3 linked regions of the Anolis sagrei genome follow. The protein of the gene in region 2 purifies or fractionates together with the protein of the main gene of each other region. This does not show direct contact. Links are inferred from orthologs where the notes say so. Each region holds a gene or a part of one and is shown on either strand. Other genes may lie near its edges.

The links. Proteins that work in one complex are often made in the same cells at the same time.
Region 1: the proteins of COPS5 (region 2) and KLHL42 purify together in Homo sapiens (affinity purification with mass spectrometry; 3 studies listed by BioGRID and IntAct, with this or other methods). This does not show direct contact. The link is inferred for Anolis sagrei from reciprocal best matches to the Homo sapiens genes COPS5 and KLHL42.
Region 3: the proteins of COPS5 (region 2) and BTBD2 purify together in Homo sapiens (affinity purification with mass spectrometry; 4 studies listed by BioGRID and IntAct, counting the BioPlex papers as one, with this or other methods). This does not show direct contact. The link is inferred for Anolis sagrei from reciprocal best matches to the Homo sapiens genes COPS5 and BTBD2.

Annotation. Positions count from the first base shown.
Region 1 is NC_090025.1:102,406,164-102,413,241, reverse strand, and holds the start of KLHL42 (kelch-like protein 42), read right to left. Parts: upstream 3,065-7,078; 5' UTR 2,882-3,064; coding exon 2,052-2,881; intron 1-2,051. UniProt on the Homo sapiens protein: Substrate-specific adapter of a BCR (BTB-CUL3-RBX1) E3 ubiquitin-protein ligase complex required for mitotic progression and cytokinesis. The BCR(KLHL42) E3 ubiquitin ligase complex mediates the ubiquitination and subsequent degradation of KATNA1.
Region 2 is NC_090024.1:45,218,081-45,226,140, reverse strand, and holds the start of COPS5 (COP9 signalosome complex subunit 5), read right to left. Parts: upstream 3,038-8,060; 5' UTR 2,925-3,037; coding exon 2,758-2,924; intron 1-2,757. UniProt on the Homo sapiens protein: Probable protease subunit of the COP9 signalosome complex (CSN), a complex involved in various cellular and developmental processes.
Region 3 is NC_090034.1:52,728,314-52,735,474, reverse strand, and holds the start of BTBD2 (BTB/POZ domain-containing protein 2), read right to left. Parts: upstream 3,065-7,161; 5' UTR 3,050-3,064; coding exon 2,541-3,049; intron 1-2,540.

The DNA.
Region 1 (7,078 bases), on a different chromosome or scaffold from region 2:
CATGAATACACAATACGCCCAACGTGAACACTGGTGGAGTTTGGGGGAAATAGACCTTGACATTTGGGAATTATAGTTGCTGGGATTTATAGCAGTCTGAACCCTACCAACCAGAGAATTGGGCCAAAGGTCTCACATACTGCGTTTTCTGATGGTCTTTGGCAACCCCTCTGACACCCTGTCATGACCCCACCAGGGGTCCCGACCCCAGGTTGAGAAACGTTGTTCTAAAAGCATTCTCTCCTGACGTTTCACCTGCATCTATGACAAGCATCCTCAGAGCTTGTGCGGTCTGTTGGAACTAGGAAAATGGGGTTTATACTGTATAAATCCAAGGAACTACAGCTCCCAAATCACAAAATTAATCCCCTTTCCCAATCCTACCTGTATTCAAATTCGGACATATTGAATATTTGTGCCAAATCTGGTCCAGTGAACATCCTACATATCAGATATCAGATGCAAACATCCTACATATATTGTCGAAGGCTTTCATGGCTGGAATCACTAGGTTCTTGTGGGGTTTTTTTGGGCTATAGGGCCATGTTCTAGAGGCATTTCTCCTGACATTTCGCCTGCATCTATGGCAAGCATCCTCAGAGGTAGTGAGGTCTGTTGGAATTAGGACAATGGGTTTATATATCTGCGGAATGGCTGGGGTGGGGCAAAGAGCTCTTCTCTGCTGGAGCTAGGTGTGAATGTTTCAACTGACCACCTTCATTAGCATTTGAAGGCCTGGCTGAGCCTGGGAAAATCTTTTGTTGAGAGGTGTTAAGATGTGCCTGGTTGTTTCCTCCCTGCTGTTTTGCTGTTGTAATTTTAGAGTTTTTTAATACTGGTAGCCAGATTTTGTTCATTTTCATGGTTTTTTCCTTTCTGTTGAAATTGTCCACATGCTTGTGGATTTCAGTGCCTTCTCTGTGTAGTCTGACATGGTGGTTGTTGGTGTGGTCCAGCATTTCTGTGTTCTCAAATAATATGCTGTGTCCAGGCTCGTTCATCAGGTTCTCTGCTATGGCTGACTTCTCTGGTTGGAGTAGTCTGCAGTGCCTTTCATGTTCCTTGATGCGTGTCTGGGCGATGCTGCGTTTGGTGGTCCCTATGTAGACTTGTCCACAGCTGTATGGTACACGGTAAACTCCTGCAGAGGTGAGAGGATCCCTCTTGTCCTTTGCTGAACGTAGTATTTGTTGGATTTTCTTGGTGGGTTTGTAGATTGTTTGTATGTTGTGTTTCCTCATCAGCTTCCCTGTGCGGTCAGTGGTTCCCTTGATGTATGGCAGGAACACTTTTCCTCTGGGTGGATCTTCATCTTGACTCTCGTGGCTTGTTCTTGGTCTTGCAGCTCTTCTGATGTCTGAGGTGGAGTATCCATTGGCCTGGAGAGCCCAGTTGAGGTGGTTCAGTTCATCTTGGAGAAGGTGGGGTTCGCAGATTCTTTTTGCACGGTCTGCCAAGGCTTTGATGGTGCTTCTTTTTTGACTTGGGTGATGGTTGGAGTTTTTATGTAGATATCTATCTCTGTGTGTGGGTTTTCTGTAAACGGTGTGACCCAATTGTTGATCTGGTTTGCGGATGACTAGGACATCTAGGAAAGGCAGTCTTCCTTCATTTTCCTTTTCCATGGTGAATTGGATGTTTGGGTGGATGCTGTTAAGATGGTCCAGGAACCTGTTGAGTTCTTCTTCTCCATGGCTCCAAATGGTGAAGGTGTCATCTACATATCTGAACCGTATGGTGGGCTTTTTGGTTGCTGTCTCCAGGGCTTGTTCTTCAAAGTGTTCCATGTAGAAGTTAGCTATGACCGGGCTGAGAGGGCTCCCCATAGCTACTCCATCTTTCTGTTCGTAGAATTCATTGTCCGACTGAAAGTAACTGGTGGTAAGGCAATGGTGAAACAGATATACATATATATATTATGATTCATAACAGTAGCAAAATTACAGTTGTGAAGTAGCAAGGAAAATAATGTGATGGTTGGGGGTCACCACCACAAGGGGGACTGTCTATAGGGGTGGAGGCATTAGGGAGAGTGGAGAAGGAGGCGTTACCTCTTCTGGTTCATGGAGGCCACGGGGCTCCACTCGTGGAGGCTGGGGTTGTAGCAGTGGGCGGCGGCGATCTCCTGGCTGGCGGTGAGGCGGTACCCTCCGGCCAGGAAGAGGTAGTTGTCCAGCAGGGCGGCGCCATATCCGCGCACATTGCCCAGCGCGGCGGGGAGCGCCCCGGGAAGAGGTAGCCAGCGCCGGGCGCTTTCATCGTAGCGCAGCGCGGAGCAGAGCGAGGCCTCCTCGGGGTTCGGACTGGCGTGGCTTTGCCCGGCGAAGCGACCCAGGGCGATCAAAGCAGGAGTCGCTCCCGCCAGGCGCCTCTCCCGGAGCTGCTGCTGCAAGGCGCTGGGCAAAAGTTCCGCGCGGCGGAGTAGGGCGTGGAATCGGGCCGCCATGAAGGCCAGCGCCGCCTCTCTCAGCTCGCGCAGGCCGTAGTGCTGGGCCAGGCGGAGGAGGCGCAGGCAGTTGGGCAGGCGCAGCCCGGAGGCCAGCAGGCGCAGCAGCGGCGTGACTTGCAAGTAGCAGGCGGCTTCCACGAGCTCCTCCAGTGCCAGGGAGCCCTCCTCCTCGCCTTCTTCATCCTCCTCCTCGAGAGGCACCCGTCCGCAGTGGATGAAGTCGAGGACCAGCTCCAGGCCGCGCGCGCTCAGCCCTCCGCGCAGGCGCAGCCCCGCCGCCGCCGCCTCCCGCATCCCCGAGCGGAAGAGCGCCCCGAAGAAGTCGCTCTGCTCCAGAAGCAGGCGCTTCCTCGCCGGGAAGCGACGCTCGCCCAGGCGGATCTCCACCACCTCGTCCCCCGGAGCCTCACACAGCCCCGAGCCGGACATCATCTTTGCCGCCCGCCGGAAGGGGAGGGACCCGCACTTCCCCGGTGGAGAAAGGAAGACAGAAAGAAGCCCAAAGAAGGGCAACGCCGCTCCGCTCCTCCCCCGGGAAAGCGGGCTCTGCCCGGGCAGGACAACACCCGCCTCGTCCCCAGCTGCCCTGCTCAGCTCTGGCACTCCGCGCAGCCCTGGCCCCGTAATAGGAGGATTGCTGGGTCCGGAAGCTCCGAGCGCAACCGAGGGGACGCATCGCTTCTTTGGGAGCGCAATTTGCGCAAGAGAGACTTGGCTAATGCAAGCCAAGCCTGAGACAGATCATATAGAAGGCATGTAAGAGTTCTTTCATGGGGAAACCCTTTCCCTAACCCTGAACCGTACCCTAAGCCTAACCTCTTGTTGTTGTTCCTTCGTTCAGTCGCCTCCGACTCTTCGTGACCTCATGGACCAGCCCACGCCAGAGCTCCCTGTCCGCCGTCACCACCCCCAGCTCCTTCAAGGTCAGTCCAGACACTTCAAGGATGCCATCCATCCATCTTGCCCTTGGTCGGCCCCTCTTCCTTTCACTTTCTACTTTCCCCAGCATAATTGTCTTCTCTAGGCTTTGCTGTCTCCTCATGATGTGGCCAAAGACCTTCTCAACCTCTGAGGATGCTTGCCATAGATGCAGGTGAAACGTCAGGAGAAATGCCTCTAGAACATGGCTCTATAGCCCGAAAAAACCCACAAGAACCTACTTCAACTTTGTCTCTAGTATCCTTCCCTCCAGTGAGCAGCCGGGCTTTATTTCCTGGAGGATGGACTGGTTGGATCTTCTCGCAGTCCAAGGCACTCTCAGAACTTTCCTCCAACACCACAGCTCGAAAGCATTGATCTTCCTTCGCTCAGCCTTCCCTAAGGTCCAGCTCTCACATCCGTAGGTGACTACAGGGAATACCATGGCTTTGACTAGGCGGATCTTTGTTGCCAGTGTGATGTCTCTACTCTTTACTATTTTATCAAGATTGGTCATTGCTCTCCTCCCAAGAAGTAAGCGTCTTCTGATTTCCTGGCCACAGTCTGCATCTGCAGTAATCTTTGCGCCTAGAAATACAAAGTCTGTCACGGCCTCCACATTTTCTTCCTCTATTTTCCAGTTGTCAATCATTCTTGTTGCCATAATCTTGGTTTTTTTTTAATGTTTAGCTGCAACCCGGCTTTTGCGCTTTCTTCTTTCACCTTGATTAGAAGGCTCCTCAGCTCCTCCTCGCTTTCGGCCATCAGAGTGGTGTCATCTGCATATCTGAGGTTGTTAATGTTTCTTCCAGCAATTTTCACCCCAGCTTTGCATTCCTCAAGCCCCGCACATCGCATGATGTGTTCTGCATACAAGTTAAAAAGGTTGGGTGAGAGTATGCAGCCTTGCCGTACGCCTTTCCCAATCTTGAACCAGTCTGTTGTTCCATGGTCAGTTCTCCCAAACTCCCAAAATTCTGCCTTCTAGAACAGATAAAATCCCAACTATCGACCCCCTGGATTACACATCAGATTCAGTGGAGATCGCCAGCTGATCCTCTCTCTTCTTCCCAGCCAAGGGACAAGTGAGATCACTACAATGTATCTAAGACACCTTCTTATATCCAGGATGAAACTGTGGTTACAATCCCACCAACAAATATACATATTTGAGACTCTTTCTTTGTCTCTTGTCATGAAAAGATGTCTGGGACAGCAACATCCATTGTGTTTTCCAGCAGGATCCAGTATCTGCATAATTCTGTCAGATCGGCTTTTAGACTTCTTTCCATATTCCAACACCACCCACCCAGAGGTTGGCGCAGTCTCTGGAGGTCCTCCCTTCCCTGGATCACTTCCACCCGTCCATTGGAAGCCTCTGATTGGTCAGGAGGTGGGTCCAAGTGATTGAAAGAGGTGGTGATGACGAAACGGAGGATCTCCTTCCAGCTGACATGCACTGCCTTGGACCCGCCTCCCAACCAATCAGAGGCCTGGAGAATATCAGCCAGCTTCTCGGCACTGGCCAATCAGTAAAAGGGAGTATTTCAGAATGGGACAATGTTGGTGAATGGAAATTTATGTGTATAAAATTGCTTACAATTTTGCTTTTACACTTGTCCCATTTGCGCAATGTTCTTACCTCGTAGGCCGAAGTAGAAGCCTGGCATGTCAGTGAGGCAGGCCTCCATTTTGGGAGTGTAAGCCAGGGAAGCAGACATCTTGAGAGGGTAAAGTTAGAAGAGGGGGGGGGGGAGCTGGAGGTATCCTAGGATTGGCTAGAACAGATGGGAGGAGCCAAGTCTTGGGAGGGAAAAAGTGACAGCTTCTAAGAAAGAGAAGGAGACGGAATCTGGGAATTGAAGAGAGGAGAGGTACTTTTGAGCCTTGGGTTTTTGACAGAGAGCGTTTGTGGCAGGCAAGGCTGCATTATTGGCCAGAAGGGTGAAGTAGCCTCCTGATTGTTTGTGGGTGTTAGCACAAGTGGTTTGCTCTCTGGGTAGAGTAGATTAGCTGTAGAGAACTCTGATTAGAGTGTGCTAATTGCTCTTAAGACAGCCTGAGTGGGTTAGTCTGGGGAACTCACTGCTACTGCGTTATTGTAGAGTGAGGAATTTTGTCAGGAGATCAAGTCAAGTAACTTTCTTTTTTTAAAATATTTTTTATTGAAGTTTTCATAAAACATAAAAAACAAAAAAAAGAACAAGGAAAAAATAAACAAGAAGAAACGTTAGAAACTTTAAAAAAAACAGAGAAAAAGAAAAAAGATGAAAAAGTGAAACTAAAAGTTGACCTCCTGGTATCTTCGGAAAATCTTATCAGTCTTTTTATTTGTGTTCTTGTTTTTCTTCTTTCCCTCTTTTTGACGTAGTTCAATCTATTTTTGTACTTCTTAAATTACTATTTCTTTTTTCTTCTTTTTCAAGTATTCTGTAGCTTCACTCCAATCCGTTTCTTTCCTATTAATTTCTTTGTTTTTCAGCAATAGAAAGGTTAGCTTGTCTAAGTTCCTAATATCTAACATTTTTGTTTCCCAATCATTTATCTCTGGAATCTCTTCTTGTCTCCATACTTTGGCATAGCACATCCTTGCTGCTGTCAACGCCAAAAATAGTATTTTATCTTTATTTTCCTTCAGTTTTCTATCATACATCCCCAGCAGAAAGATCTCTGGCTTCAAGGGCAACTGTATTTTCTGCATAATTTGAATTTCCTTATGTATTCCCCTCCAAAATTTTCTCACTTTATCTCGCTTTATTCTAAAGGAACCATCAAGAATATTGTACCTTAGTAACAAGTTGAGCTTTTGTGCCTCATGAAAGAAGTCAGTTGTTTGTTTGTTCTTATCAATAAATCTTTTCTCTATTCAACTTTTAAAGAAGCCTCAATCGTTATTCGTTCCTGTGGGAATAATTCAAGTTTCTTCAACATCCTAATATCTCAGTCATTTGTGGGAGCTGAGGGAGAGCTGGGTTGGCGGGGAAAAGGGTTACCTCAGAGGATCAATTTCAATATCCTAAGACAGCTTAGGTGGTGGCAGAAAATCTCAAAAATAGAAGAAGATTGAAGCAATGTTCACTCTACCAGAGCACACACATTCCAGCAATATATATATATATAAAAGAAATCCCGTGTAAAGATTCTTTTATACTGGTGGACAGGCGGTGAGATTAATCACAAGGCAGCCCTTAATTCCCTTGTATTGGTGGCAACTGCGGGGTTATTCTATAATAGTGTATAACAAGCCTGCTTATTTTCTGTTATATTGGTGTTACTCATGAATTTTAACTGGTTAACCAAATCCCCATGCTAAGTCTATGAGATGCAAAAAATTAAGAGTCCCTCCAGAACTGCAAGCACTATCTCAAGCAAATATTGACAATTTATTCACACTGTCATTACTTGCAGCAATAGCCGATGTAGTGAAGCAACCAAGTTGGGCGTGTGTGTGTTGAATGTTCTCATTAAGGAGGCCAGACTTGGTGGAGGTGGTTGACAGGGGCAGAGCTGCAGGCTATTGAAGGTTGCTCTGCCCCCTGCTGTGCTCTTTGCTTCAACGTGAGCTAGGAGGCAGGTTTCAACCCCCCCCCCCCCGCAAAATTTTCAACCCCGGCTACGGCCCTGGTGTCGACTAATATAATCTAGTTAAAAGCAGATAATGTGGATTATCTGCTGTGATAATCTGGATTATATAGCATTGTAGAAGGAGCC
Region 2 (8,060 bases):
CATGAGGAAGAACCTCCTCATTGCGAGAGCTGTTCAGCAGTGGAACTCTTTGCCCCAGTATGGTGGAAGCTCCTTCTTTGGAGGCTTTTAAGCAGAGGTTGGATGGTCATTTGTCGTGGGTGCTTTGAATGTGATTTATAAAGCCATTGTTCTCCCAACCTTGCTATAATGCCTGCGAAACGTGGACTGTCTACAGACTTCACACACAACTCCTGTAACAATTCCATCAGCGTTGCCTCCAAAACAATCCTGCAAATCTCTTGGGAAGACAGGCGGACAAATATAAATGTGCTGGTAGAAGCAAAGACCACCATCAGTGAAGCTATGGTTCTCCGCCATCAACTCCGCTGGACTGGCCATGTTGTCCGAATGCCCGATCACCATCTCCCAAAGCAGTTACTCTACTCCCAATTCAAGAACGGAAAACATAATGTTGATGGGCTGGAAAAGAGATTTAAAGATGGGCTTAAAACTATGGCATAGACACCGAGAATTAGGAAGCCCTGGCCATTGGGTGCTCTAACTGGAAGTCAGCTGTGACCAGCAATGCTGCAGAATTCAAAGAGGCACAAATGGAGGAAGAAACATGCCAAGAGGAAGGCGCGTCAAGCCAACCCTGACAGAAACCGCCTTCCACCTGGAAACCAATGTCCTTAACTGCGGGAGAACATGCGGATCAAGAATAAGGCTCAACAGCCACCTACGAACCCACTGCCAAGGCACCACATCTGAAAGACCATCATCCTCAAACTACGAGGGATCGCCTAAGTAAGAATGTGATTTTCCTGCTTCTTGTCAAGGGGTTTCTTCCAACTGTATGATTCTATCTGCAACGTGGTCTTTCAACCTCACCAATATATTTATTTATATATTTAGTATATTTGTATACCACCGCTTTGAGCCTTCCGGCGACTCGAGGCAGTTTACAAGGCAAAATTCAATGCCACCAAGAACACAATTACAATATAAAATGTCAACATCAATAAAATCATAACACTATAATAAAACATAATTCAATAAATACTTATTAACACAATGTCCAGCCCCGTCATGTAGTTGTTAGGAAAAATTAGGAAAGCCCCTACCCTAGAAACTTTTAAAAAGAACCTCAAAACCTGGCTCTTCTGTTGCGCCTTTGGTGAATAGGTATTCAATCCCACATTATCATTCATTTGCAATGTTCTGTCACTGGAGAATACATTCCCCCCCTCATGGGAAAGCTTGATTCCACAACTCCCACTATAATGAGCCCTCCTCCACAAATAATTTGTTTCTCTTTTATCTCACCCGAGTTTTTAACCAGTTTTAATTAGTTCTTCTTTTAACCATTACATATAGCCCGCCCATTGTCACTGTGTTTGTGTTTACTGTAATTTTATATTGTTGTATATTAATATGTTTTATGTAATTATGATGTTGCAGTTTATTGTTTGCATTTTCGGTTTGCGTTCGGTTGTTCTTTACTGTAATTGTTGTTTGGGCTTGGCCTCATGTAAGCCACTCCAAGTCTCCACTGGGGAGATGGTGGCGGGGTACAAATAAATATTATTATTATTATTCCATTCTTATGTCCGCATCTCTGTTTATGAACCCACGTGCTCACTTCATTCATCCGGAGAGGCCCTGCTCGTGATCCCGCCTGCGTTGCAGGCGCATTTGGTGGGGACGCGAGACAGGGCCTTTTCTGTGGTGGCCCCCCGACTTTGGAACACCCTCCCCAAAGATCTTAGACAGGCCCCTACGTTGGCAGTCTTTAGAAAGAACCTGAAGACCTGGCTGTTCCGATGTGCCTTTCCAGAATAGGAAAACTCCAACAACAAGTCCCAGAAAGCACTTTATTAGAAATTAAAATTGCTGGCACACTGCACTACCCTATAATCCTTACATATCACCTGTCACATCAGCACTTTTAATCTGTACCCATTACTCTGGCCCGGCCCAGTTTTATTGTGTCCCGGTGTATTGTTTTATTGCATGTTGTTTAATATTGCTTTAACTGTTTTAAATTTGCTTTAGGTTGTGTATTGTTATGTTGTGTTTTGAGGCCTTGGCCTTTGTAAGCCGCATCGAGTCTTTTGGGAGATGCTAGCGGGGTACAAATAAAGTTAATAATAATAATAATAATGTCTGTTACTCAGTATTCGCAAATGCCTGCTTAAATAGCCATGTCTTAAGATTCTTCCGAAATGCTAGGAGCAAAGAAGCCAATCTGATCTCCTTGGAAGGGCGTTCCATAGCTGAGGGGCCACCACTGAGGAGGCTCTGTCTCTCATCCCCGCCAGCCGTGCTTGTGATGATGGCGGGACCGAGCGCAGGGCCTCTCCTTTGGACGATCTTAAAGTCCTCGAAGGTTCATAAGGGGAGATTTGTTTGGACAGGCAAGTTGGGCCAGAACCATTTTGTAATGAGTATCGTCTTTTGTAATGAGTGACGCCTTCTCATGATAAGTCATGGCAGTCTGATTTCAATTATGTCAGCGTCTAGGAATAGTTCAGGCTTTAGATTATGAGTCTGCAGCAGGCACGGGCCAACTTAGGCCCTGCAGGGGTTTTGGACTCCAACTCCCACCATTCCTCACAGCCTCAGGCCCCTTCCTTTTCCCCCTCAGCCGCTAGTGAGGGGGAAAAGGAAGGGGCCTGAGGCTGTGAGGAATGGTGGGAGTTGGAGTCCAAAACCCTTGCAAGGCCCAAGCTGCCCCATGCCTGCTCTAAAGCCTCCCCAAACACCACCTCCCAGGGTGCTGGGCCCAGAACTCACTCCTTGGTCCAGGGCTTGGCGGCCAGGATCTCCTGCTGCTGCTTGCGGTCGTACTTGTAGATCTCGTCGATGCTCTGCGCCTCCTGCATGTTGTTCGCCAGTTCCCAAGTCTTCTGGGCCATCCCGCTGCTGCCCGAGGGCCCCGCTGCTGCCGCCGCCGCCGCCATAAGGCCCGCTCTCCACTGACAGGCAGGCAGCCGGACCGAGCCTGCCTGCCGGCCTGTTTTCCGCCAGCCCAGTGCTACTACGGAAGCCGGTGGGTGTCGCTCTTCGCGGAAGGGTTCCGTCCGCGCTGTGCGGCACGCCCCTAGTTCGCGCGCCCCCTAGCGGTCAACAACGGCGTGACCCTCCCGCCTGGAATCGGCTTTGTCTTGCCAACCTTTTTTTGGCGTCATTTCCGCCTGGCGTTACGGCGCATGCGCTGTCGGGGGAAAAGGCGCGTCATGCCGCAAGGCCTCCTGGGAGACACAAGCTTTGAACTTAGAAGCTTGGGCTAAAAGCAGATTCGTAAGCACCGGGAGGAAGTCATGAACTTCTCATCTGCATTGGGTTGCTGTGAATATTCCGGGCTGTGTGGCCATATTCCAGAAGCATTCTCTCCTGACGTTTCTCCCACATCTCAGAGGTTGTGAGGTCTGTTGGAAACTAGGCAAGTGGGGTTTATATCTGTGGAATGTCTGAGGTGGGACAAAGAACTCTTGACTACTTGAGGCAAGTGGGAATATTGCAGCTGGCCAGCTTGACTAACATTGAATAGTCTTGCAGCTTTAAAGCCTGGCTGCTTCCTGCCTGGGGGAATAGGTTGGTAAAGGTAGTCCCCTGACATTAAGTCCAGTCATGTCTGACTCTGGGGTGTGGTGCTCATCTCCATTTCTAAGCCAAAGAGCCAGCGTTGTCCATAGACACCTCCAAGGTCATGTGGCCGGCATGACTGCATGGAGCGCCGTTACCTTCCCGTCGGAGCAGTACCTATTGATCTACTTACATTTGCATGTTTTCGAACTGCTAGGTTGGCAGAAGCTAGGGCTGACAGCAGAAGCTCACGTTGTTCCCCGGAATCGAACCTGCGACCTTTCGATCAACAACCTCAGCAGCTCAGTGCTTTAACCGACTGCGCCACCGGGGGGAATAATAATAATAATAATAATAAACAACTTTATTTAATACCCCACCACCATCTCCCCAATGGGGACTCAGGGAGGCTTAAATGAGGCCAAGCCCAACAGCATATTACAATAAAGTAAAACCAAAACACAGTGACAACACAGAAAAATTCATACAACATATGAGTACAAAAACAATAACCAAAATCATACACAGTAAAATAAAATAACATAACAATGAGTAGGCCGCATGTGCAAGATAAAAACTAAAATACTTGTTGGGATTTCTTGCATCCTGAACATCCCACGATTATATAAACTTAGCTTGATTAACATTGAATAGCCTTGCATCTTTAAAGTCTGGCTGCTTCCTGCCGGGGAGAATCCTTTGTTGGGATTTCTCCCATCCTGGACATTCCATGGTTATATAAACTCAGCTTTATTAACATTGAATAGCCTTGCATCTTTAAAGTCTGGCTGCTTCCTGTCTGGGAGAATCCTTTGTTGGGATTTCTTCCATCCTGGAGATTCCACGGTTATAAAAACTCAGCTCGATTAACATTGAATAGCCTTGCAGCCTTAAAGTCTGGCTGCTTCCTACCTGGGGGAATCCTTTGTTGGGATTTCTCCCATCCTGGACATTCCACGGTTATATAGAATCATAGAATCCTAGAGTTGGAAGAGACCTCATGGGCCATCCAGTCCAACCCCCTGCCAAGAAGCAGGAATATTGCATTCAAATCACCTCTGACAGATGGCCACCCAGCCTCTGTTTACAAGCTTCCAAAGAAGGAGCCTCCACTACACTCCGGGGCAGACTCAGCTTCATTAACATTAAATAGCCTTGCAGCTTTAAAGTCTGGCTGCTTCCTATCTGGGGGACTCCTTTGTTGGGATTTCTCCCATCCTGGACATTCTACAGTTATATAAACTCAGCTTGTTTAACATTGAATAGCCTTACAGCTGCTTCTTACCTGGGAGAATCCTTTGTTGGGATTTCTCCCATCCTGGACATCCCACGGTTATATAAACTCAGCTTGATTAACATTGAATAGCCGTGCAGTCTCGCTTCTTCCTGCCTGGGGGAATCCCTTGTTGAGATTTATCCCATTCTGGACATTCCACAGTTATATAAACTCAGCTCGATTAACATTGAATAGCCTTGCAGCTTTAAAGTCTGGCTGCTTCCTACCTGGGGGAATCCTTTGTTGGGATTTCTCCCATTCTGGACATTCCATGGTTATATAAAGTCAGCTCGATTAACATTGAATAGCCTTGCAGCTTTAAAGTCTGGCTGCTTCCTGCCTTGGGGAATCCTTTGTTGGGATTTCTCCCATCCTAGACATTCCATAGCAAACCAGTTAAGGTATATTGTCAAAGGGATTATGGGTCAGAGTGATTTAGAATGGTTAGAAGAGGGAGTGAAGACATAGATATAAATCCAGAATATATTTTCTTCATAGGGAAAATCAGGAATTTGGGGAAGAAATGGTATAACAAAATAGAGAACGCTGTTAAGTATATATATATATTTGAAATATGGTCTAAGTATGAAGAAAAATTAATACCGCCGATCTCCCCATTAACTCCAGTGTTGATTACAAATAATTTTCCTATAAATCTCAAAAAGGAGTTAGAAAGAGAATTAAAAGAAAAAGGAATAATGAAATTAAAAGACTGGGAACCAAAGATGAAAAATATAGAGGAGATAAAGGACCAATTATCAGGATGAAGTATTGGGTGGTATAAAGCTCTACAATTGGAAAGATGGTTAAGGGGAATAAGAAAGAAATATAAAGGAGATTGAGAACTTACTAAATTTGAAGAAATGATTAGCCAAAGAGGGAGTAAGGAAGAAAAAGGAAGAACAAAAAGGTGTAACAAGCGATATCTATAAAATATTGTTGGAAGGAGTCCAGGAGCAGGACCACCGTAAAGGAATGTGGGAATCGGATTGTATTAAAGTAATATACCCTCAAAATTGGAAAGGAATATGGCATATTAAAATCTGTCAATAAGAATAAAAGAGAATTATTACAAAGTGGTGTGGAGATGGCATCTCACACCAGTCAGATTAAATCAAATCCATAAGAAATACTCTAAGCAGTGCTGGAGGGGCTGGCAAGAAACTGGTACATATATACACATGTGGTGGTCTTGTAAATATGTTAAATTTTTTTGGAAAAATGGATTTCAAGAAACAAGAATCACCCAAATAGAGATAACAGGAATGCCGGAAATAGCACTGCTATCATTTATTACTTCAGAGCTTGATGAGCATGCCCACCCCCAATTAATATATAGAATATTTCCTGTGCTTCTGTTTGTTAATTACTTTATTGAGTTTCTTTCAAGCAATGTAAAGTGCATCAAAGATATTTTTTTTCAGTATCTTTGCTCACTACTAAGAAGCCACCCATGTCCATAGAGGTGCTTTTCATGGGTGATATCCTTTTAGCTCTCATTTCTTTTAAAACACACACAGAACTAGTTGTTGGAGTTCTTACTCAAATGGATAAGCATATCCCTATATAAGTATATATGTCTAAATTAAAAGTCTATTAACTCCAGTAAATGAGAATTGTAATTTGGGGAGGCCACACTCTTGGCCCAAGAAGGCTAAAGACCTTGTAAAACTACAACTCCTGGGATGCCATTGCCTTGAGACGTGGCAGTACACGTGGTCCACAAGAATGAAAACATTGTTGCCTCGAAACTACGTGGCAATGAGAGCGACTGATCTCGCAAAACCCTGTGACTGGTCTTGTGAAACCTTCTTATAGTGCCAAGGCAACAGGGATATCGAGAGGGGAGTGGTTGACTACCCACAAATGATTACTACTACCACATCAGCTCTAGATTCAGTATGGTTTTCTGTGGGAAAGCAGATGGCGACTTCTGGATGGCATATGTTCCGTATCAGAAACTAGAGCTGATGTGGTTTAAAAGGTAAAGGTTTCCCCTGACATTAAGTCTAGTTGTGTTGGACTCTGGGGGGTGGTCCTCATCTCCATTTCTAAGTCGAAGAGCCAGCATTGTTCATCAGCAACACTTAGGTCATGTGGCCAGCATAACTGCATGGAGCGTGTTACCTTCCCGCAGAAGCGGTAATAATAATAATAATAACACTGATATTCTGCCCTATCTCCCCAAGGGGACTCAGGGTGGATCACAGTAAACATACATGGCAAGCATTGAGTGCCGTTTGCGATAGACAGGACAGAGCCCGACAGATACAACAGAACAGTATGTTGTGTCAACATCCAGCTTTTTGGAGGTTGTGCTCAAGTCCAGCTAAATAGAGGTGCTGTTGCTCCATCCTCTATGACGAAGAGCCATCAGGACTTCCTCCTTCCTTTTGGTCGCCGGGCATTTTCTGATTTTTTTATGATGTTGTAAAATACCTCCCTCACTTGTTTTAGCGGTACCCAATTTCTCTATTACAGCTCAAGCTGTTTTCAAACTGCTTAGGTCAACAGTAAGCTGGGCTGACAGTCGGGAGCTCACTACGACATGGGGCTTCGAACTGGCAACCTTTTGGTTGGTAGATCTTATCACTGCTGGTGATTTACCAGTTGTGACAAAGACTGATCTACCTATTGATCTACTCATATTTGCATGTTTTCAAACTGCTAGGTTGGCAGAAGCTGGACCTAACGGCGAGAGCTCACGCTACTCCCCAGATTTGAACAGCCAACCTTTTGATTAGCAAGTTCAGCAGCTCAGCGGTTTAACCTGCCGCACCACCGGGCCCCCAGATGTGGTCTACCCAATGCAATTTTCTGAATCAGCACCCCAAATAACCAAACTAAATCTAAAGTTGACCAAAAACTGATTGATTATTATTATTTATTTATTTACTGTGCTTATAGGCCGCTGTTCTCAGCCCAGGGGCGACTCACAGCGGTGTACAACATGTAGAGAATAAGGTGCAAATTACAAGACATAATCTAACAACAAACTAGCAATATCAAAACATCGTCATCAACAACATCAACAATCTCAATATCAATAATACAAAAATACAAAAAAGTCATTCGCGTCGTCTCATCGTTAAGCCACAATCCAATATCGTTTTCCGTTGTTCCATTCCTGTTGTCATTGCCAATTATTGCACTTCTTGTTCGAACGCCTTCTCGAACAGCCACGTCTTTAGTTTCTTGCAGAATGTCATAAGGGAGGGCACCAGTCTGATATCCA
Region 3 (7,161 bases), on a different chromosome or scaffold from region 2:
GTAAACACATACACAGTACAGATAATATACATAAACACATAACACACCCACAAATAAATAACACACACAAAGTACAGGTCCATGTGGCACATGCAAACACATATACATGCATAGACACGCACACACACAAGTATGTAATGTGTGTGTGTGTGTGTGATTATATATACAGGCAGTCTCTGAGTTACAGGCACCTGACTTACATCCGATTCCAAGTTACAAAGGCAGAGACTGAGACAACAGGAGAAATCTGCCCCTCGATAGGAAGAGAAAGTCCTGAAAGTGTTATTATCATGGGGAAAAGAGGCCTCCACTGAAGCTTTATCATCAATCCTTGTTTCCACAACAAGCTGCCTTTGTCAAAATCCCATTACCACAGGGGCATAAAGTGCGACGAAATATTCTGAACACAGACAGCAAAGGAAACCTCTTAGGGGTTTATGCTATCCAAAGCTAACAAAATGTTTGTTTTAGCTAAAGTTACACATAAAAAGTCCCTGTTCTGACTTACACACAAATTCAACTTAAGAACAAACCTGCAGAACTGATCTTCTTTGTAACTTGGGAACTGCATGTATATATATGTGTGTGTGCGTCTGTATTTATGTATGTACGATATGTGTATTTATACATATTTATATATGTGCTTTTTATGTATGTGTATCTGCATATGTGTAATATATGTGTGTATAAATACACATATATAAGTGTGCATTTATGTATGTATATGTATTTTCAAAGGCTTTCATGGCTAGAATCACTGGGTTGCTGTAGGTTTTTCCGGGCTATATGGCTATGTTCTAGAGGCATTCTCTCCTGATGTTTCGCCTGCATCTATGGCAAGCATCCTCAGAGGTAGTGAGGTCTGTTGGAACTAGGAAAATTGGGTTTATATATCTGTGGAATGATCAGGGTGGGACAAAGAACTCTTGTCTGCTAGAGCTAGGTGTGAATGTTTCAACTGACCACCTTGATTAGCATTTGATGGCCTGGCGGTAGTCTGCAGTGCCTTTCATGTTCCTTGATTTGTGCTTGGGCGATGCTGCGTTTGGTGGTCCCTATGTAGACTTGTCCACAGCTGCATGGTATACAGTAGACTCCTGCAGAAGGGAGAGGATCCCTCTTGTCCTTTGCTGAACGTAGCATTTGTTGGATTTTCTTGGTGGGTCTGTAGATAGTTTGTATATTGTGTTTCCTCATCACTTTCCCTATGCGGTCAGTGGTTCCCTGTGGACAAGTCTACATAGGGACTACCAAACGCAGCATTGCCCAAACACGAATCAAGGAACATGAAAGACACTGCAGACTACTTCAACCAGAGAAGTTAGCCATAGCAGAGCACCTGATGAACCAACCTGGACACAGCATATTATTTGAGAACACAGAAATGCTGGACCACTCTAACAACCGCCATGTCAGACTACACAGAGAAGCCATTGAAATCCACAAGCATGTGGAAAATTCCAACAGAAAGGAGGAAGCCATGAAAATGGAACAAAATCTGGCTACCAGTATTAAAAAACTCTAAAATCACAACAGCAAAACATCAGAGAGGAAACAATCTGGGACATCTAATCACCTCTCAACAAAAGATTGCCCCAGGCACTGCCAAGCCATCAAATGTTAATCAAGGTGGTCAGTTGAAACATTCACACCTGGCTCCAGCAGACAAGAGTCCTTTGTCCCACCCTGGTCATTCCACAGATATATAAAACCTTTTTCCTAGATCCAACAGACCTCACTACCTCTGAGGATGCTTGCCATAGATGCAGGCGAAACATCAGGAGAGAATGCCTTTAGAACATGGCCATATAGCCCGAAAAAACCTAAAACGGCCCAATAAGGAACAGCTAATCACCTCTCAACCAAAGATTCCCCCAGGCACTAACAAACCACACCAAAAAAAACTGCCAGGCCATCAAATGCTGATCAAGGTGGTCAGTTGAAACATTCACACCTGGCTCCAGCAAACAAGAGTCCTTTGTCCCGCCCTGGTCATTCCACAGAAATATAAACCCAATTTTTCTAGTTCCAACAGACCTCACAACCTCTGAGGATGCCTGCCATAGATGCAGGCGAAACATCAGGAGAGAATGCCTCTAGAACATGATCATATAGCCTGAAAAAACCTACAATAACCTATGCATGTATATGTGTGTGTGCATAAGTGTATGTATCTGTGTGTGTTTATATATGTATACAGTATATGTGAGTGTGTACCTCTGTGTAATATGTGTGTACTTGTGTATATATCTATAGATAGATATGTGTGTGTATGTCTATATGTATAAAAACACACAAATTCATTCAGAGCACACATGCAGACATGACAACATAAACAAATACATGTATATATGTCTATATTTCCTTCCCTCCCTGCCCCTTCCTTCCTTCCTTCCTTCCTTCCTTCCTTCATCCTTTCCTTCTTCTTCCTCCCTTCCTTTTTTCCACACATCTTCCTTCCTTCTTTCTTCTTTCCTTCCCTCTTCCTTCTTCCTTCTTTCCCCCTTCCTATCTTCCTCCCTCCCTTCTTCTTTCCTTGCCTGTGTGCAGGGAGGCGTTGGGCGCCCCTCCGTCCTTTCCCGACTACGAAGTGGACGTCGCTGAGCACCTCGTTGTTGAAGAGGAAGGCCATGCGCTCCAGGACCGTGGGCTTGGTGGCCTGCCAGTTGTAGGCCGAGGGCGGAGGCGAGGAAGGCGGCGGGGAAGGTGGCGACGAGGAAGACGACGGCGCCGAGGCCGCGGGAGGAGGAGGCGAGGAGGAGGAGGCGACCCCCTGGATGCGCGGGTTGCCTCCGCCCCGGTTCTGCGCAGCACCAGGCCCCGGAGCCTCGGGCCTCGCGTGAGGGGGCGCTCCGCCCAGGTTGGAGCAGGGCGGGAGAGGCGGAGGAGGCGGCGCCGAGGAGGAGAAAGGCAGGCCCCCTTCGCCGCCGACTCCTTCCTCCAGGGGCCCGGCTCCGGCCGCCATTTTTCGGCGCCGAGGAGGAGGAGGAGCCCAAGGGACCGAGAAGGGGAGGAGGAGGAAACAGCACGGGCTTCCGCTGCGGCCCATGGAAGAAGGAAGGGAGGGAGGAAAATGGAGGGAGAGAGGAGGGAAGGCGCCGCCTGAGGGAAAGGAGGCGCAATGGCCGCCTGCCGAATGAGGCCTATGCGAGGAAGGCTTCCATACCTAGCTGAAGGGAAGGTTCTCGATGGAGGCCTACTTGAGGAAGGCTTCAAGGCCTGGCTGAGGGGAAGGTTTAGAATGGAGGCCTACCTGAGGAGACTTTGAATTGTGACCTACCTGAGGAGGCTTCCAAGGCCTGTCTGAGGGGAAGGTTTACATTGGAGGCCTACCTTAGGAAGGCTTCGAGGCCTACCTGATAGGAAGGTTTTAAATAGAGACCTACCCAAGGAGGGCATCAAGGCCTATCTGAGGGGAAAGTTGTCCTCCTGGATTCATCACTTACGTTTGAAAGCTCAGGTGTCGGCAGTGGCCGGGAGGGCTTTCGCACAATTAAGACTTGTGCGCCAACTGCGACCGTACTTCGCGAAGGCTGATCTGGCCGGGGTGGTCCATGCCTTGGTCACCTCTAGATTGGGGAAAGTGGAAGGCAAAAGGAAGAGGGGCCGACCAAGGGCAAGATGGATGGATGCCATCCTTGAAGTGACTGGACTGACCTTGATGGAGCTGGGAGTGGTGACGGCCGACAGGGAGCTCTGACGTGGGCTGGTCCATGAGGTCACGAAGAGTCGGAGACGACTGAATGAATGAACAACAATGCGCTCTAAGTGGGGCTGCCCTTGAAAACGGCCCGGAAATTTCAACTGGTCCAACGGGCAGCGGCCAGGATGTTAACTGGTACCCCTTATAAAGAGAGGTCAACCCTCCTGTTCAAGGACCTCCACTGGCTGCCGTTTATTTTCCGAGCCCAATTAAATGTGCATGTGCTTATCTACAAAGCCCTGAACGGTTTGGGACCATCCTACCTGCGTGACTGCATCTCCGTTTACAAACCCACACGTTCACTACATTCATCTGGAGAGGCCCTGCTCGTGATCCCGCCTGAGTCGCAAGCACGTTTGGTGGGGGTCACGAGACAGGGCCTTTTCTGTGGTGGCCCCCCGACTCTGGAACACCCTCCCCAAAGATCTTAGACAGGCTCCTACATTGGCAATCTTTAGAAAGAACTTGAAGACCTGGCTGTTCCGATGTGCCTTCCCAGAATAGGAAATTTCCAATACCAAGTCCCAGAAGCACTTTATTAGAACTAAGATTGCCACACACTGCACACTGCACTTTCCCTATAAGCCTTATATAAAAAAAAATCATCCAGGCGTCCCCTGGGCAACGTCCTTGCAGACAGCCAATTCTCTCACAACAGGAGCGGTTGCTCCTGACACACAAAAAAAATAATCCTTATATACCACCTGTCACATCAGCACTTTTAATTCTGTACCCATTACTCTGGCCCGGCCCAGTTTTATTGTGTTTTGGTGTATTGTTTATTGCTTGTTGTTTTGTTGTTTAATATTGTTTTAATTGTTTTTAATTTGCTTTAGGTTTTGTATTGTTATGCTGTGTATTGAGGCCTTGGCCTTCATAAGCTGCATCGAGTCCTTCGGGAGATGCTAGCAGGGTACAAATAAAGTTAATAATAAGTTTTAGAATAGAGGCCTACACGAGGAGACTTTAAATTGTGGCCTACCTGAGGAGGCTTCCAAGGCCTGTCTTAGGGGAAGGTTTACAATGGAGGCCTACCTTAGGAAGGCTTCAAGGCCTAGCTGATAGGAAGGTTTTAAATAGAGACCTACCCAAGGAGGGCATCAAAGCCTTTTGTTGTTGTTCATTCGTTCAGTCGTCTCTGACTCTTCGTCACCTCATGGACCAGCCCACGCCAGAGCTCCCTGTCGGCCATCACCACCCCCAGCTACTTCAAGGTCAGCCCAGTCACTTCAAGGATGCCATCCATCCATCTTGCCCTTGGTCGGCCCCTCTTCCTTTTGCCTTCCACTTTCCCCAGCATAATTGTCTTCTCTAGGCTTTGCTGTCTCCTCATGATGTGGCCAAAGGACTTCAACTTTGTCTCTAGTATCCTTCCCTCCAATGAGCAGCCGGGCTTTATTTCCTGGAGGATGGACTGGTTGGATCTTCTCACAGTCCAAGGCACTCTCAGCACTTTCCTCCAGCACCACAGCTCAAAAGCATCTATTTTCCGACTAAGGAGGAGAAAATCCTTTCCTTTTAAATCCCTTTACTGTCCCCACTCTTTCCAGGAACCTACATAGATTCTCTTTTTGTAATTAGCTGTGGCTCTTCTGTGACTCTTTAAGAAAACTTGTGCAGTGCTTTGCATTACAGGTTTCAGACAAACTTCACAGTAACATTGTTTATTTATAGCTTCTTGTACAAATGCTTATTGGTTACATTTATATCACTGTTTCTTAGTTGCACATAACTTGGTTTCATTACAGTTTTCTTTTCATAACAGTCTACTTCAAAGGTACTCAAACATCAACATTTTGCTAGCTTCCTACTCTGGCTTCTGCACTCAAACTGACTCAAGCCTCAACTGCCATTTGCCAACTTATTTTTATTTATTTATGTATTTTTCGTGTCAGAGCAACCAGTGCATTATATTACATTTCTAACAGAACAAAGCAAACAAACAGACAAATAGAAAACTTGTGAGTTTGGTAGTTGGTTAAATGTCCTTTGACCAGTATCTGGCCACTTGGAGTGCTCCGGTGTTGCTGCAAGAAGGTCCTCCGTTGTGCATGTGGCAGGGCTCAGGTTGCATTGCAGCAGGTGGTCAGTGGTTTGCTCTTCTCCACACTCGCATGTCGAGGATTCCACTTTGTAGCCCCATTTCTGAAGGTTGGCTCTGCATCTCGTGGTGCCAGAGTGCAGTCTGTTCAGTGCCTTCCAAGTTGCCCAGTCTTCTGTGTGCCCAGGAGGGAGTCTTATTTGGTATCAGCCATTGGTTGAGGTGCTGAGTTTGAGCCTGCCACTTTTGGACTCTCGCTTGCTGAGGTGTTCCAGCGAGTCTCTCTGTAGATCTTAGAAGACTATGTCTAGATTTAAGTCGTTGACGTGCTGGCCGATACCCAAACGGGATGAGCTGGAGATGTCTCAGCCTTGGTCCTTTCACTATTGGCTGCTACTTCCCGGCGGATGTCAGGTGGTGCAATATTGGCTAAGCAGTGTAATTTCTCCAGTGGTGTAGGGCGCAGACACCCCGTGATAATGCAGCATGTCTCATTCAGAGCCACATCCACTGTTTTAGTGTGGTGAGATGTGTTCCACACTGGGCATGCATACTCAGCAGCAGAGTAGCATAGCGCAAGGGCAGATGTCTTCACTGTATCTGGTTGTGATCCCCAGGTTGTGCCAGTCAGCTTTCGTATGATATTGTTTCTGGCACCCACTTTTTGCTTGATATTTAAAAAGTGCTTCTTGTAGGTCAGAGCACGATCCAGAGTGACTCCCAGGTATTTGGGTGCGCTGCAATGCTCCAGTGGGATTCCTTCCCAGGTGATCTTCAGAGCTCGGGATGCTTGTCTGTTCTTGAGATGAAAGGCACATGTCTGTGTTTTAGATGGGTTGGGGATCAGCTGGTTTTCCCTGTAATAGGCAGTAAGAGCACCTAGAGCTTCGGAGAGCTTCTGTTCTACTGTCTCAAAGTTCCCTGCTTGAGCAGTAATTTCCCAACTGTCAACTTTTAAATTCCTGTTCCAGCTTCTGCACCTACTCGTTTGCATAGGACCAATCGGAACCCTTTATGCAAATTAACTCTTCTCCTTCTGTTACTGCCCTCTAAGAATAACATAATGGCTGTTCTTGCATCAACTCTTCAATGTAGGCCCTATTACAACACTGACATATATATTAAAACTTTAACCTATAACAAACATTTCGCTACACCTCCCCTCAAAGAAGGCCTCCATATTGAATCTCATTTTTTTTTAAAAAAAAACAACTCTTCAGCTAAACTACCATTTTAAAGATCCCCCCTTTCAAAACCATAAAAGCCTCAATTTTTGAACCCACTTTCAATGTATAAAAGCCATCCAAACCTCCATTTAAAGGCCCACCTTTTTTCAACCCGCAAAACAGCCCCATTTTAAAGCCCAATGTAAAAGTGCCCCTGTTTAGAACCCACTTTTAAATATTTAAAAGCCTTC